Linked DNA regions of Drosophila melanogaster. The protein of the gene in region 2 binds, or shares a complex with, the protein of the main gene of each other region. Each region holds a gene or a part of one and is shown on either strand. Other genes may lie near its edges.

Region 1 (7,605 bases), on a different chromosome or scaffold from region 2:
GATGCACATTAAATCTACTGTTTCCCCGCTAGTCACCTCATTGGTGGTGTTGTCCAGTGCCAGTTCTAGCTGGTTCAATGCAAGATCCTGGTTGAGTACCTGGTGGCGGGCGTGCAGGACCATGTCGCCCAGCCGTCGGGAGGGATTGCAGTAGTTGTCCTGGTTGTGGACGATCGAGTGGTACTGGTTTTTGTAGCTTTCCAGGAATCCGCTGACCGTGGACAACTTGTCGGTGAACTGCAATAACATGCCAATTCCTGCGGCGAGGGCGAGAATGAGGTATGCCCAATTCCGCCATGGAGCCTTCTTCTGGGTACAATGGGCAATGTCCAAATGGTGTTTGCACACCTTTTTATTCAACCGCCTGTTGGACTGCAGGCGGCGAATCTCAGTCCTCCTCTTTCTGGCGAATGGCCGGCTTATCGGGGCGACCACATTTTCATTCTTTTCGTTCTGTATTAGAGTATTGTATGTGACCATTTTATTAAGCCTTGTTTCGTTAGCAACTGGATATTTTTGGCTGACTTGTGCTCGAATACAATTATCAGCCTACTGTGATACAATTTGGTAAAAACTTTGGTTGCATGTTACAAACCGGCAAATTATTCTAAATGCCGCTTCCTTCATGCAGTATTTCACGAGTGTTGTTTTGATAGGCAAACATATTTTGGTATTTTACTATCGAAACATTCTTCTGTTCTGCCAATAAATACAATTTTAATAAGTATTTTGTAATACAATACAAGGTATAAATTAAAATAGTTTCAATCAATGTAAAATTAATGAAAATACGTAAATTTTAATTTTAGCTTATTGATAGTCGGAATTGTACTACGATTTAAATAAAGGTATATTTTAGGTAGGTATTTATTTAACATGTGTCAATGTTAGTATATTTTACGAGCCTAAACAAAAACGGTCAGTTTGCAGTAGCCGACTTCTTAAAACTGTCATTATTTTAATATTTCAATAACCCGGAGCAAATCCCAGGCAGTTAATCCGATCCGCAATGACGAACGAAGATGTGGGCACCAACAGCGTCGCCGACCGCCTACAGTTGGGTCCGCGCGAAGGCGTCACCTATCCGATCCAGATGAAGTACTGTGGCCACTGCACGATGCCCATTGAGGTGAGTTCGTCTTCAAACCTGGGAAAAATCCATATTAGGGATCATATATGGCCCATATATTTACATATATATATATCCACTATACGCAGTACTGCGAGTACTATCCGGAGTACGAGAAGTGCAAGGAGTGGCTGGAGCTCCACATGCCCGATGACTTCGAGCGACTAAAGATTGAGGAGGAGGCTGCCGCCGCTGACGGGACGGATGACGACAAGAAGCGCCAGAAACGCGGTGGCAAGGGACTGTTGCGCGTCAAGAAGAAAGAGGACGTGCCCAAGCGTATCTGCGTCTCGCGGGCGGCACGTGGCAAAAAGAAGTCAGTGACCGTGGTCACAGGATTGAGCACTTTTGGTAGGTTCTGTTCGCACATTATGAGTATAGAGTAGGAAATGGAGGGGGATGCGGGCCCACTGGATGCTATGAGTAGCCATTACCATACCATGTAACTTAGATATATTAGATATACTTATGAGCTTTATTGTTAACTAAGCATAATACATTCCCTGTCTGTTCCAGATATTGATCTCAAGGTGGCCGCCAAGTTCTTTGGCACGAAATTTGCCTGCGGCTCCTCGGTTACCGGAGACGACGAGATCGTCATTCAGGGTGACGTCAAGGATGACTTGTTCGATGTCATACCCGAAAAATGGGCCGAGATCGATGAGGACGTCATCGAGGATTTGGGCGATCAGAAGCGAACATAAATAATTTACCTTTTTTTTTAGCTTATTTTATACGCTCCATCAACATAAATATATGAAACGTTAAACGTAATAAGCGGATGGGTTATTTTGGCGGCTGCTACCCGAGGTTTTCTCCATCTGGTGTCGGATTGGACTTGGTTTCCATTGAAGTGGGTGCATCCGTTGCAGGCGCTGTAGTGGCTTCATTTGCTGGAGTAGCATTATTTTCTGAAGACGATGTTTCCACTGGGCTTGCTTCTTCTGCTGGAGTAGTAGTAGTGGCTTCACTTGAAGGAGTAGCGACATTCGCAGGAGTAACTCCATCACCTGGCGTGGTTTTGTCCGCTGGAGCTATTTGTTCCGCTGGATTGGATTTTGCCTGGGCATTACGCTTTACGCCAGATTGCTTGCCGGCCTTCGCAGTGGACTCCGCAGGCTTTTCCGCCGGTGTTTCCTTAGCAGCGCCTTTGGTTTCTCCACCATGGAAGTGTTTGTAGCTCAGCTGAATGATTTTCTCGTTCTCCTCATCGGTTAGTGGAGCTTTATTGTCGTCGATGAGCTGGGGAGGTTATTATATACTTAATTAGCCTTTCTGGCATATGATAGACTAATCCTTACCAGTTGCGTGTGTAGTGCACTTGTAGGCGGATCGTTGATCATTTGCAGGATCTCTTGGGACTTTAGACGATAAGAAGACAGGTCTTTAACGTAATTCATAATGTTCTCACGAGTTTGTGTCTTGCAGGGCGACTCCTCCAGATACTGCAGTGCCTGTGGAACAAAGTGTTTGGTTAATTTATCATATATTAGTTAAATATTTAAAAAAATCGACACCTCATAGGTAACCGTGGCCAAGTTGCGCATGCCGAACTTCTTTTTGGTGCTTTTGATCTTCTGTAGAATCTGCATTACCTCCAGATTGGTGAGGTACGAGAACGTGGGATTGATCCTGAAATGGAAGCGTTATCATCTGCATATTATTCGCTGTTTAATGGAAAAACTAAATAAAAACAAAACAATCCTCACGTTTCCATTTCTGCAAATTTTAGTATGACCGCAGAGCGAGCGCTAAAATATACCCCACCTACGCATATTACAGTTGGCCTTTATATATTAACATAACAGATAATTTATACATGAATAAAACGATCTACTCAACAAATTAAATGGTGTTGAATTAATTTGTTGTTAAAATTTGTTATAATTGGTTTTTGCATTGGAGTATATTTGTTGCAGTAAGGCTATGGTCACACTAAAGCATCGCTTACCATAACATTACAGCGAATTCCGCCACTGTTATTGGATTGTGCCACCTGCTGTTAAAGCTTTGGAGTCCACTCCGCGGAAGGAAGCAGAGGATGTGGATGCGGTGATACTGGAATCTTTTGAACGGCATGCATTCCCATACGAATGAGACGGCTGCGACGTCGACAACGGCGGGCGCGGTCACGAATGGAGCAGGCGGATCAGGAGCTGGAGCAGCGGGTGCCCATGGCAGCACGGAGGGCAAGATCCGGTGCATCTTCCTCAGCGAGTTTCATGCGACGGCGGGCTGCAAGATAAGCTGCCAGGTGAGCTGGTTCCCAGGAGCGCTGATAACGCAGTATAGTTCGAACAAATCCACGTCCCTCAGGTTCCTGATAACTACATATCCAAGGATGTGTTCGATGCTATCAATGTTTACATCATACCCAAGCAGCATCTTCAACGCTGCATTCTCACCGTCAACGCAATGGATGTAAAGATAGTCGGCTATCCAGTGGGCATCCAGGATCAGCAGAAGTACGCACGGAATGCCTTCCTGTTTAACCTATGCTTTGTCTGCGACTCGCGGGCCAGGAGCGTCCAGTACGAGCCGGTCGTCAAGAAGCTGTCCGAGTACCTCATAATGATGGAGGAGGAGTCGTGCTTCCTGTCTCGCGAAGATGACAAGCGCCGCCTACAGAACATCTTTGAGACTGTACTACGCGACCTTAACGAGCGGAAGGTGGCCACCATTGTTGAGGGCGATAACACTATATACCTGAAGATCGTCATGCACAAGCCGGACCCGCCGCCGGTCAAGGATCACATGGTGCCCCTGCTGCTGGCGAACCTGCGCGATGCTCCGCTGGACAACTGGGACCTTACCACACAACAGGTGCGGACTATTCCTGATTCTATAGTTATACAATCTTCACGATGTAAATAATTTAGTAATCCCATTGGACTGTTATGGTTTCCTCTAGATCCTGCCTTATATAAATGGAATCAACCATGTTGCCCGCATTGCCGCCGAAGCGGACGTGGAAACGGACCTGGTCAAGTCGTGCATACAGAATCTGGTCTACTACGGGGTCGTTCAGCTGCTGCCAATCCTGAAGTACAGCAACGTGTACATGACGCAGAACCTAAAGCATCTCATCCAGAGCGCATCACTGAGCGGCGCATGCCGGAAATACGTGGCCTTGCGTCCGGACAAGACGCTGCCCAGTGTTCAGCGCATCTTTCAGTTCTACGCCTCGATGACTCACGGCGTTACTCTGCGAGCGATCTGCCAGAGATTGTGCCCCCAGCACCACAACATCGATGAGCGTCGCATGGTGATCTTCGGGCTGCAGCACCGATTCATTCGCTGCATCCACAAGTACCCGGTGTTTACGGGCTCAGTGCCTTCCGGGCGGCAGAAGATGTACACCGGGCTGATCAGCTTTGACGAGATCTGCTGCAAGACGGGCCTCTCGCCCTGCACCATCGAGCGGGATATCGAGAAGGACACGAATGTGACTGTGATCTGGAAGTGACGACCGGAAGGACTTCTCCGGCCAGTTGGGTTTGTTGTAGTTTGTAAGCGAACCGATTGTTATGTTTCCAAATGCTTTTTTATATACGCGCATATACACATTAAAGTTTAAGAATTCACTGGTTTGGCTTGGGCTGGTTCCGGAATCGCTTTGCCAGCTGGACAGCAATCAGGAATCCTTTGCGCTAGAGATAATGCAATCCTGAACCGCCTGGGCCACACAGGCGTCCTCCGAGGCCATGCCTTAAATAGGAAATGTATGAAATTTTTAATGATACAACTTTGAAACAGACAGAGATAGTCATATAGTTACACAAACTTAATAAAAACGCACCCATGGATTGAAAGATGCTGATTTCTAGCTCCTTGGGATAGTTTCCATCCAGAATGATCTGACCCACTTCAGCGGTGATCGGCGCAGGTAATCCCACCAATTCAGCCTCGGCATTGGCATAGCAATCCACGTAGACCTTGGCCTGCTGGTAAATCTTTGGAGCCACCTCCGAAAAGTGAACTTCGCCGGCTCCCACAGCTGAAATCGAAAGTTATAAAGGGTAGGTCATCATCATCCATCCAGCATTCCATTATAACAGCAGACCTACCGTTAATATGAACAGCCCGTTTGGATTTCAGATCTGCCAACTGGATAAGCGGCTCCTTGGAGTACGTGGCGATGCAGATGATATCGGCATCCTGGCAAGCTTCGTGAGGACTTGGACATACAGTAATCTGGGTTCCGCTCTCGGTGTTCAATTTCTGCCGCAGTTGGTCCGCTAAACCCAGTGCCTTTGCCTGCGTGCGATTGTAAAGATTAAGCTGCCTCACCCGGAAGTTCGCGCAGAAAGCGGCAGCATGGAGTTGTCCTTGAACTCCACAGCCCACGATGGCCACGTTGATATTCCTTTCCTGCTCCGCCTGCGCCCCAAAGCGCCTGAAGTACAGATACTTGGTGGCCACCAGTGAAGCGGATACAGTGCGCCAGGTGGTCAAGTCCGTGCCCTCCATTATGGCCGACAGTTGACCGGTTTGATTGTCGAACAGCAGCACATGGGCATGGATGCTGGGCAGCGGAGGATCCCGTCGGGGATTCCCACTGAACGAGGTCACCAACTTGCAGGCCAGTGTTGAGTGGGTGTGCTCCACTTCCCCAGGATCCCTTGACGATTCCAGCCTGTAGTTGCCCACATAGGCGGGCATGGTGAGCAGAACCTTGCCAGGTTCCTTGCCGCATGGAATAAAAGTCCTCTTCGGTTGAAAGGCAAAGGATGTGGAGGGCGTTTCCGGATTCTGCTTAACTATAGCTACAAGTGCAGATTCCACTGCCTTATTGACCAGCGGCCAGGTGAGAACCTGACGCACAGCATCCGCATTGTAGTAAGCTGGCGTAGAGCTGCTCATATTGGCAATGAAATGGTTTTAAAACAAAGTAATTCTTGCAAATTAAAATATTCTAATTATAATTGGAATGCAACTTAGTATCTTACTAACGATCAAAGAATGCACTGACCAGGGATGCCAGGTTTTAGGAATATTGTTGTGGAAATAACTATATTAAGCAATGTTTTAATTTCTGATAATATATATTAGAAATATATTAAGCTTAAATACTGTGACTGTACTCTATCAATTTTGAAAATTGGACTCATTGTACATTTTTGTCTTACAAAAGCTTATTTAGTTTGAAATCTTGGCAGCACTGTTGACTTAAACTTAAAAATTAACTAAAAAATACCGTTACTATCATTTAAACACCTATCGAAATCAACAGTCGATAACTTTGATGATGCAAAGCGTTGAAATTTTAAATTGAAAGATCAAGGTGATCATTATTTGATAATATTCAACGTATTGAAGAAAAAACAATGACGTTCGGTTTAAATCAGGAAAGACCATTATCTGAAGTGGGAAAAACCACCAACCGAAAACCAATTTTCACGGGCGACTGTTTTTCCTCATTTCTAATGCAGTTTTCCCCATTCTTCGGCATCGCTGGGAAAATGCATTTTCACCGCACGCCAAGGGCGAAACCGCAGCGCTCAAAAAGGGAAACCGCTTCTGTCAACGGCTTTATCGCCCCGAAACGATTCTCGCAAACAGCTGGAAACTGAACCACAGCCCACACAACCCGTCCACTCCACTCCACTCCAATCCAATCCCACCCAGACCAATCCAATTCGGAGCCGCAGCAGGCGACACGAAAGTGAAAAGCGAATGCACTTTTCCGAGGCTGCAGCTGATAGGGAAATTAATTTATGCGCCGCCATTGTCTTTCTGGTCGCGCCATTTTATTTTCCCAGCTGCTAATTCAAATTTTGACATAATTTCTTCACTGTGCGCCTCCGTCGCATGCTTTCTCGCCTTTTTCCCAACCAATTTCACTTGACTTGACCTTTGCGCGGCAATTTCATGGGTTTCCATGCACTGGGCGAAAAGTACCGCCCTTCCTAATGTAGAATTCTTCTAAATGGCTACTGATTATGTCATTCATGCAAACGGCTAGGATTTACAGTGCACAGTGAGAAATTGGGAGAGTATTTCATGATTTTATATAAGAAGAATAGCATTGTGTTGAATTATGATACTTTTAAACCACCTTAAGTCACCCAATGTCTAGAAATATTTTTGATTTTATTAAAGTCACCCAATGTCTAGGAATATTTTTGATTTTATTAACATTGAAAATTAAACATTACAAACTTACCACTCAGCATATGGAATCTTGTTTCCAGCTTGTTTTTCGGCCTTTCACGATATGAACAGGATGAGCTCTACTTTTTTTTCGAGTGCATGGGCCTGTGTGTAGGGTGGGTCTGCAGCCTTTTGTTGTTGTTGTTGCAGGCTGATTTATATTCGCCCCCAAGTGCCACAAATCAAAGTCGAGCTGCTGCTGCTGACTCATTGGAGCGGCTCCTGGTTTATCGCGGTGACCTGTTGCATGCCCCACTCCTGGAGACACGGCGGTGGCACCACCAGAACTAATAGAACCAACAGAACTTGCAGAACCACCAGCA
Region 2 (8,480 bases):
TTTCGGTTTAGCAAAGTGGGGGATTCTTACGATTGGTGTTGCCGTTGTCGCTGTCGCCAGTTGTTGCTGTCGTGGCGGATGTTGCTGCAGACGATTGGACGGGTTTGGATCTTTTCTGGCCGCGGCCAAAGATCAATGTCAAGAGGAATGCGAGAAAAGCAGCCAGAGTGCCTAATATCGTGATCAACATCGGCTAAATCCAAAAAGCTGCTTTAAATCGGTGAATGCAAATCGGATTAGATAATCTGCTATCTGGTGGCCAGCTAGCTGGGTTAGTTTACAGTGTGTAGATAGTGAAAGTGCCTGTGCATCATCTTGTTTCGGATACTTTTCAAGTTCAAAAACCTTGCCACGATATTGTAGGCCAAAGCGGCGAAACAAAACAAAATGAAAATGCTAATCAATGCATTAACTAGTTTGCGAGATACAATTAAGAAACCGAAAAAACAACCATATGAGACCCAAAAATAAATCGTTGCCAGGTCAATGAGGCAGCTGATAAGAGATGTGGTCAACGAATAAGGTATACTCTACGGGAAATTCAAACTAATCTACAGATCAAGCGGGTGACTTCAAAAGTATGCAATAAGTATTTCAAAGTACGTTGTAAAGGCGCAAGTGAATATTATGTTTAGCAACTACGTAATTAGTGACAGGTGTCGAATTACGATTTAATCAACACTATTACACCTGCATATATCACTTGAAAAGTTTCAATCTAAGTACATATCAAAGTTTTCAATATACTATACGAAAATACAGGAGCTCAAGCTGTTTCCGGGTCAAAGATGGCTTCACTACTAAATAATCTACTTTAGATACCCTTTGGCAGGGCGATAAAACTTAAAAACACGAAAATTAATTTCGGATATGAGGTTCAATGTGCAGCGCATTTAAAATTAAAACAAAACGGCGAAGAGCGCGAAGGGAAAATTGAAGAAACTTAAGCTGACAGAAACAAAACCCCCCCAGTTGGTTGGTTGGTGTGAGGAAATGCAAATCGGTGTGGTATGGCCAGCAGAAGAGGTCAATGATTTTGGCATTACAGTATACATGTGTGCACGTGTGTAAGTGTGCCAGCCAGGCGGCGGGCATTGAAAGACACGGAAAGTCGGATTGGACACCGGAATCGATCTCTGGCAACCAGCGGGGTGTTATGTAACCGCTTACTCGGAAATCGCGCAGAGAACTGGGACTTGGGTTACACTCTGCGCTGGAAACGACTCAACAGGTGTGGCCCGGTCCCGTACTCAAGTAGCTCCGTTAGTGCGCACCCTCGCAATGGATGGAGTCTTTTAATTGTGCTTTATTTACCACCGATCCTGTGATAAGAACTCTGCTGGCATTACTCAACAGTCGAAAACAAAAGAATCTTACTCGACGTGCGATTATCTCTAGGGCAGCACTTTTCGGGACCTTGGCTGGATATGATACGGTTGTGTTTTGGGTTTAGTTCGTCTTAGGATTTAGATCTACGGTTTCAGCTCGCTTTACCACTCTGCGTGTGCCCTTGTTTAGCTTGTGATGGCAGTTTCGAAGACGAGGTCGGACCGGATCGGATCGGATTGTAGTAGACCGTGTAGGATCGGTTTGAACTTCCTAGACTGACTGGTTCCGCACGATTTCTAGATGGCTACTGCAGTGACCGACGATTGGAACTCAACTGGGCCATGCTCGTCCGAAAAGCACTATCGATGCCTGAACGCCGCTTCTCCGAACGCGCAGCGGACGCCGACTTCGGCGTCGCCACTATCAATATCAACTATAGCTATAGCTTTGACTACGTCTACGGCCAGGTTTTCGTGCGCGGACCTGTGTTTGTGCGTGTTCAGGTTGTTGCGCTCGTATGTTAATCGCCAGCGGGTCTCGCGGGTCGCCAAGCCAATTGTTGTTGTTGTTGTTGTGTTATTGTTTTGCTTATTGCTGGCTCAGCCAGCGCCAAGTGACCAGGAGGAATATATGTGCACTATGTACTACATAAGAACTACATATGTACAAGGAGCGCCACTAATTCGAACAGAAAGGCGGTCGAATTAAGCGGGGCAACCTGCCGGATTAATAACAATTTTTATGAAGGTGGCTCAAGTAATGACGACCAGTGTGCTCCGTCGGTTTCAGTGATCTTTTTGTGAACCAATTATGCCATAACAATGTCCGAATAAATAAATGCTGGGTACAGTGGCACCAGAGAAATATTTAACAAAATCATTTCTTTATTGTCGTCAGTGATGAATAAGGTTTCTGTATATACCGATTCAACAAGTTCTGGAATAACTACAATGACATTTTGTTTTATATTGGATTTTTTGCGTAGTTTCCAAACTAAAAACTCATAAAAACTAACCATAAAAGCATGCCCTTCCAGCGGCAATCGCAATCAGCTTAACATCAGTGAGTTCCACTATAGGAAAGTTCCACTGTTGCACAGCAATTATACCTTAACGGTCTGCGGCTGATAAAAGATAAGAGCGACATGATGATGGCGATCAGCTGTTGCCAACAACCGTCTACCCCTCTCTGTCACTAGCAGTGCGTCCCGCTCTTTTCTCTTCCATGTATCTCTGTCTCATGGGCGGCGGTAGCTTTTCAATGTCAAGGTCGCCGATGGCATTCGGTACTGCTGTTGTTGTTGTTGCTGCTCCAGCTGGACTTAATCTGGGAGTTGACCCAACCGCTGACGGAAATGCACTCTGCTGCTGGGAGCAGCAAGCAGCAACAACAACGACCATAATTTCTCAATTTGCTGGCGTAAGTGGCAAGCGATGCTGATTAGGGTTAAATGGGCGAAAACGCCAGAAATTGATTAGCGCGATGCACTTGAATCGAATTATTATTAACGAATTCAGTGCGCTGCCACGAGCAGAACACGCGAACGCCGCTGATTTGTTTTCATTCCGTGATGCTCGCTGCTCCCGGCATCAGCAGAGGTTTTTTAAAAGTCATAAAAGAAATTCCCGACGCGACGCCCGCTTTAATCTCAGATAGGCGGCGAGTGCCTGAAAAATCTTCCGATTTCGGCATTGGCCTTGGCGACCGATTATGATTAATACTTAACGGTGACGGGTCTTCATGGTTTCGGCTCGGGCTCAATTCCAAATCTTTCCCGGCATCTTATCGCACGGAAATTTTTGTATTTCGGTGTTCGATTCTGTTCGAATTATTCATGTTTGGCGCGTGGCCAGAAAAAAACCGTCTACTGATATCACAGCCAAATAATAATAGAACCGAAAGTCGGTCGCGTGTGAAACGCCTGATTTCGATGTGCTTATCTCTAGGATTTCTACAGAGCAACAAACAACCGATTTGTGCGTGATAACACACTTGAAATCTTGTAGACACTGTAAAGTGCACGGTTTACAGTTAAATTGTTTTTTAATTTCTTAGCAAAATACTACGAATTTGTAGTGACTGCGTTGGATTGAATTTCCGATTCGAGTCCTTGTGATATGCTCATATTTCATAAATATACTTATATCGTATTTATGCAATACAATACCAACAAGAAATGCAGTCTCCAATTTAGTTCTTATTAGGTAATTGATGCCGGCCGACATACACACACGTTGGCAGCTATGCTGCTCTCTCGCCCATACACACACACACACATACGTCACGGGCATCGCGCGATGTGTAAAATCCAATAGGAATCAAGGTCAGCAGCGAGTGCGCGAGCGAGAGAGGGCGAGCAAGGCAAGACATATTGAGCATATTGCAGATGGAAGCAATTGGAATTTATGCTGCCCATTGCACTTTGATTGAAATCCGCACTTTAGCCAGCGAATTCAAATGCTAAACAAACGCGGGTCCCGATCTACATACGACTATGCTGTGGGGTTGTTCACCCCACTCATTTGCATACACATATGCGCATACATTTCGCTCGGATCGTATCGTATAGGATCGGGCCGTAATTACCCGTTTAGTGCTTAGATTACCGCACTTACTCTTCTCCATCGCACTGCGCTTCGCACGTTTCTTTCGGTTGGCAATTTTGTTGTGTGTAACTGTTCTTTTCCGGGTGCAAAACGGCCTCTTGGCGGCTATTGGAGTCCTGACTCTCCGACTAGTGTGGTTCTCGCGAATCCCGGATGGGCGTGTGGCACGGCTGATACGTTATCAGCTTGTGATCGACTAGAGTACTGTGTTTTGTTATTTTTCGCTCGATTTTTTATTCGTATTTCACGCGTAATTCGGACCACTAACTCGGTGTGACCGTTCGCCTGGGCGTACTGAAAAAATACTGAGCAAGGTAAACAACAGCTGTTCGGCGGCTGTTTGCAAGCCAACCCTGTCTCTCCTTGTAGGGCTGCATTACCGGCGCAGATTTTTCGGCGCGTGCATTTTATAAACAACATTTCGGTAAATAAGTTGAGTTTTTATCATGTTCGACGTGGAACCCATTATTGCCGACCACAAGGATGTGATACACGACGTGGTCTTCGACTACTACGGCCGCAGGATGGCAACCTGTTCCAGCGATCAGACCGTCAAGGTGAGGACTCGAATTATTCCTACGATAAACAGCCTAGGTGATCCGGATTTTCTGCTTGCAGATTTGGGACGAGGATGGGCAGGGCAAGTGGAATGTCACGAGCAGCTGGAAAGCGCACTCCGGCTCCATTTGGCGCGTTTCCTGGGCGCACCCGGAATTTGGCCAGGTTGTGGCCACATGCTCATTTGATCGCACCGCCTCCGTTTGGGAGGAGGTGATTGGCGAAAAGGTATCCTCCACCAATACCCCCACTCGCCGCTGGGTGCGCCGCACCACCCTTGTAGACTCGCGGACCAGTGTCACGGATGTGGAGTTTGCACCCAAGTACCTGGGACTCCTGCTGGCCACCGCCTCCGCCGACGGCATTATTCGCATCTATGAGGCCCCGGACATTATGAACCTCTCGCAGTGGCCCGTGCAGCACGAGATTAGCAACAAATTGCCGCTGAGCTGTTTGTCCTGGAACACTTCCACTTACATGGTCACCCAGCTGCTGGCGGTGAGTATATTTAAATTCCAAGTCTTAGTCTATTAAGGATTAATTCTATTATCTGTGGAGTAAGAATAAGCCTAATTTTCATAAATTATTTTGCAGGCGGGCAGCGACGAGGCAGCCACGCCTACTGGCAAGGTCTTCTTATTCGCCTACAGCGAGAATTCCCGAAAGTGCGTTAAAATCGATACTGTCAATGATATAACCGATCCGGTCACGGATGTGGCCTTTGCTCCAAATGCCGGACGCACCTTTCACATGCTGGCAGTGGCCAGCAAGGATCTTTATATTGTGAACTTGCGGGGTGTAACGTAAGATCGACAATTTAAAGACCCAAAATCATTTAATAATAATAATTTTTATAATTAAAGGGACGCCACGGACATCTCCAAGTTGGACATCCAGACCATTAAGTTTAGCGAGCACAATTGCCCAGTGTGGCGCGTCTGTTGGAATATGCTGGCCACGATGCTGATCTCCACGGGCGACGACGGTTGTGTGCGTCTGTGGCGAATGAACTACAACCGGCAGTGGCGCTGTGCCGCCGTCTTGAAGGCAGAGGGCAGCGGACCCACCTACGAGCCTGCTCCGCCCACTCCGACACTGGCCACTACCGCCTCGGCCACGGCCAAGTTCTACAAAAAGGGCACCATCGGCAACCAGGTGCCGTGGCACTGATCTTGTTCTTAATTGTAAGAGTTCCGAATAAATTCCTAAGTTAAACCTCAGCCGCTTGCCTTTCAATATGAGTGGTTTTCTTTAGTTATGTTTAGAGTTCACGGTATTAATGTTAATGTTATTAATGAAGTGAACTATCAATGGGTTTACGCATTATTCAATCGTTTTAAAGATTCCGTGGAACGATAATTTTCTAGAAAAATATTTTTGATTAAACTTTATCTTGGTGCCACCATGAACCAAACTTATATCACTGTGCGGAATAGTCCACGTAGTGTTCGTCGCGCACCAGAAGACACAACGAATCTTAGTAGTCCCGAATCATGAATCAATAAATCTACTCGGTTATTGTCGGATTGTACGTTTTGCTATAAAGTTGGAATCGCATCATTTGCGTAATTCGTGGATACTTCCCATACGAAATGGGTCTAAACGAATATTCGGAAGGCCTGTGTGTTTTGATACCACCACTTACATCTCGGATTAGAAGCCGGCATTCTTGCGAATCCAATGAATAGCTTTCTGGTCCACATTTCCCCAGTTCAGTGTTCCTCAGATCGCTTTTCCTAGGGCATTTTCGCGTTACATCACAAAACGTGGAGCTCTCAATGCTCCAAAGTGCCAGAAACTAATAAAAAAACAATGGGATGTTACTTCAACTTCTGCCTGCCGGCTGGCAAACTAGAGCAACTATTGATTTTGGACAACTTCCCGAAAGGCGAAGAATCAAAACAGAATTAAAGTTCACACAACGAGAAAGAGCGAGCACTAGAGATAGTGACTATAATGGCAAGCACTCTCCATACGGTCACATGTGTGTGTTTGAGGGAGAGCGGCAGATCTGATGTGCTAGCTATTTTAAAAAACCCCATGGCACAGGCCAAATCCGAGATAGATCCATCCCATTCGAGTGGGTCGGGACCAGCAGAGGTGAGGAGGAAAAGGCATTTTCGGGTTCAGTGGTTGCATTCAAATCGATTTTATTGAGATTTATTTATGGGCTATGTATTCTCGATTAACTCCTCACACGGGAGTACATAAATGGATCATAAATCCCTTTCAAGTGCACTTCCATTTACATTCCATCCACATGTGCATAAATTAACTAGGACGCCGACAAGTGCCCAAAAACAGGGTTTTTATTATGTTTAACACGGAAAAGCATTCAGAAATGTCGCGAAATATTCCACTTAATTGACTCGAACCGCAATAAAAACGAAATCATCGCACTTTCGATGACACCACAAAACTATAATAATAATAATGATATGCAACCACCCCTCCGCGGGCTTCGTCCTTGCGATCCTGTTGCTCTGCTGGTAATCCAAAGAATGAAATCCGTCCGACCAGCTCGATGGCTTTTGTAGTCACCGATGAAACCACCCCGGTTCGGTATCACAAGTTCCCTGTCCCAGATCCGAATGATTGTCTCTAATTGGAAGTTTTGACGTGTGTATTACGTCGAAGGCGATGGTGTTGACGCCGATCTCTGGGCCAGGACGAACCACCCCTGTCTGGGGCATATTGTAATCGCTGGTGGGTGGTGGTTGCGCTGCTCGCCGCGTGGGAAGTCAAAGCTCAGGGGTCTCTCACATGGTCGCGAACGTGGTAGGTCGCCCGAATCACTTATATGTGTTTAACCGGCAAAAAGAAATTAATGCGCAAAAGATTGTTTCTCGTTTTTTATTGCCAGGGGTGGTGTTTCGCAATGTTCCCACACTCCATGGACAGCAATTTCGGTTGCTGGGTTTCAATGTAATTGTAATTTTGGTTTCAAGTGATTTTTGTGGGCCAAGAGAACAAATTACAAGTAGCTAAAGTGTGTTGAATTAAATTAAACTATGAGCTCGGGATTTGCGATAAATATTTCAATTCTTAAGCATGCGAATTGAGGAAATTAACTTAGAATTAAGTAAAGGTTTCTAGACTAGCATTCCTAACAATTGTTTCATTTTGCATTGCATTGTTTTTAACCGCTTTTCATCTAATTTCTGGGTCATTAGAACGTTTTGCTCGTTAGTTTACCATTGGAACCAAAACAGAAACCCTTTTTTCGGGAACATGTTGAGCAGCTTAGGTAGCCACCAGTCCCTCTAGAAACACATTTGGCCTACGAAAGCACCCTAAACTAAACTAATATGCCAGCGTATATTAAAATATTTTAACCCTGCTACCTTTGTGACACTGTTTCCCTTTTGGGGATTATGTTTCTGGAGCAGGGACAAGATCCTGCGGTCGCCAGCTTTCCAGTTTTCCTCGATAATTTCCCGTTCCTCGTGGTGTTCGGGGTTGCGACCCCTGCACCTTGCTAACCCCGCTCCCTAATTACGAGTGCAGCGAGTGTGCAGCCGGCTTAGCTAACCGCCGCGGATTGGGTGCTCATGTGTTTATTATTGCTGGGTATGCAAATTTCATAAACCGTGAGCGGCATTCATTGACCCCCAGAGCTCGCTGACCAGCGGCTAGTGGTCGGTGGTCGATGGTCAGCGGTCAGCGGTTCTCGTTGGTCCAGCGATGCTAATGAGCACAGTGGCTGCTGATTAGACCCGGATTACTTCCGATTCAATGGTCTGGTATGAAAGATTCTATATTTTCAAATCACGTGTATAAAATACAATTTATGTAAAAATGCCAAATGGATACGAATTTTGGGGCATCCCTACTTGTCAGGTGGCAGATATCCAAATCGCATTCGCGCCTGCTCGTACAAAACGAAGGTGATAATCGTATTGGGTGACACTCGTATCAGGGCCGGAATGAATCCCTTGTAGAAGGCCAATGGGCCCTGTTTGGCGGTACTCAGAAAAGCACCTCCGA

Evidence for each region. The genes of interacting proteins can lie anywhere in the genome.
Region 1: Nup44A (region 2) and Nprl2 share a complex: the UniProt entries of both Drosophila melanogaster proteins name them as parts of the GATOR complex.

Annotation. Positions count from the first base shown.
Region 1 is NC_004354.4:16,879,842-16,887,446, reverse strand, and holds Nprl2 (nitrogen permease regulator-like 2), read left to right. Parts: upstream 1-3,081; 5' UTR 3,082-3,206; coding exon 3,207-3,383; intron 3,384-3,445; coding exon 3,446-3,952; intron 3,953-4,040; coding exon 4,041-4,595; 3' UTR 4,596-4,763; coding exon of another isoform or gene 4,764-4,837; 3' UTR 4,838-4,928; downstream 4,929-7,605. Other genes in the region: CG4880 (uncharacterized protein), read right to left, coding at 37-480; DENR (density regulated protein), read left to right, coding at 1,010-1,129, 1,219-1,480, 1,646-1,833; Polr3I (RNA polymerase III subunit I), read right to left, coding at 1,931-2,371, 2,431-2,583, 2,647-2,761, 2,839-2,846; CG4872 (uncharacterized protein), read right to left, coding at 4,764-4,837, 4,929-5,126, 5,197-5,992. UniProt on the Drosophila melanogaster protein: An essential component of the GATOR subcomplex GATOR1 which functions as an inhibitor of the amino acid-sensing branch of the TORC1 signaling pathway.
Region 2 is NT_033778.4:7,985,572-7,994,051, forward strand, and holds Nup44A (nucleoporin at 44A), read left to right. Parts: upstream 1-2,890; 5' UTR 2,891-2,938; intron 2,939-2,960; exon of another isoform or gene 2,961-3,056; intron 3,057-3,944; exon of another isoform or gene 3,945-4,143; intron 4,144-4,260; 5' UTR 4,261-4,381; coding exon 4,382-4,492; intron 4,493-4,553; coding exon 4,554-4,991; intron 4,992-5,087; coding exon 5,088-5,296; intron 5,297-5,356; coding exon 5,357-5,663; 3' UTR 5,664-5,712; downstream 5,713-8,480. Other genes in the region: ACC (Acetyl-CoA carboxylase), read right to left, coding at 31-190; Dic3 (dicarboxylate carrier 3), read right to left, coding at 8,323-8,480. UniProt on the Drosophila melanogaster protein: Probable component of the nuclear pore complex (NPC). Involved in maintaining the localization of another nucleoporin Mgtor to the nuclear envelope of early meiotic female germline cells.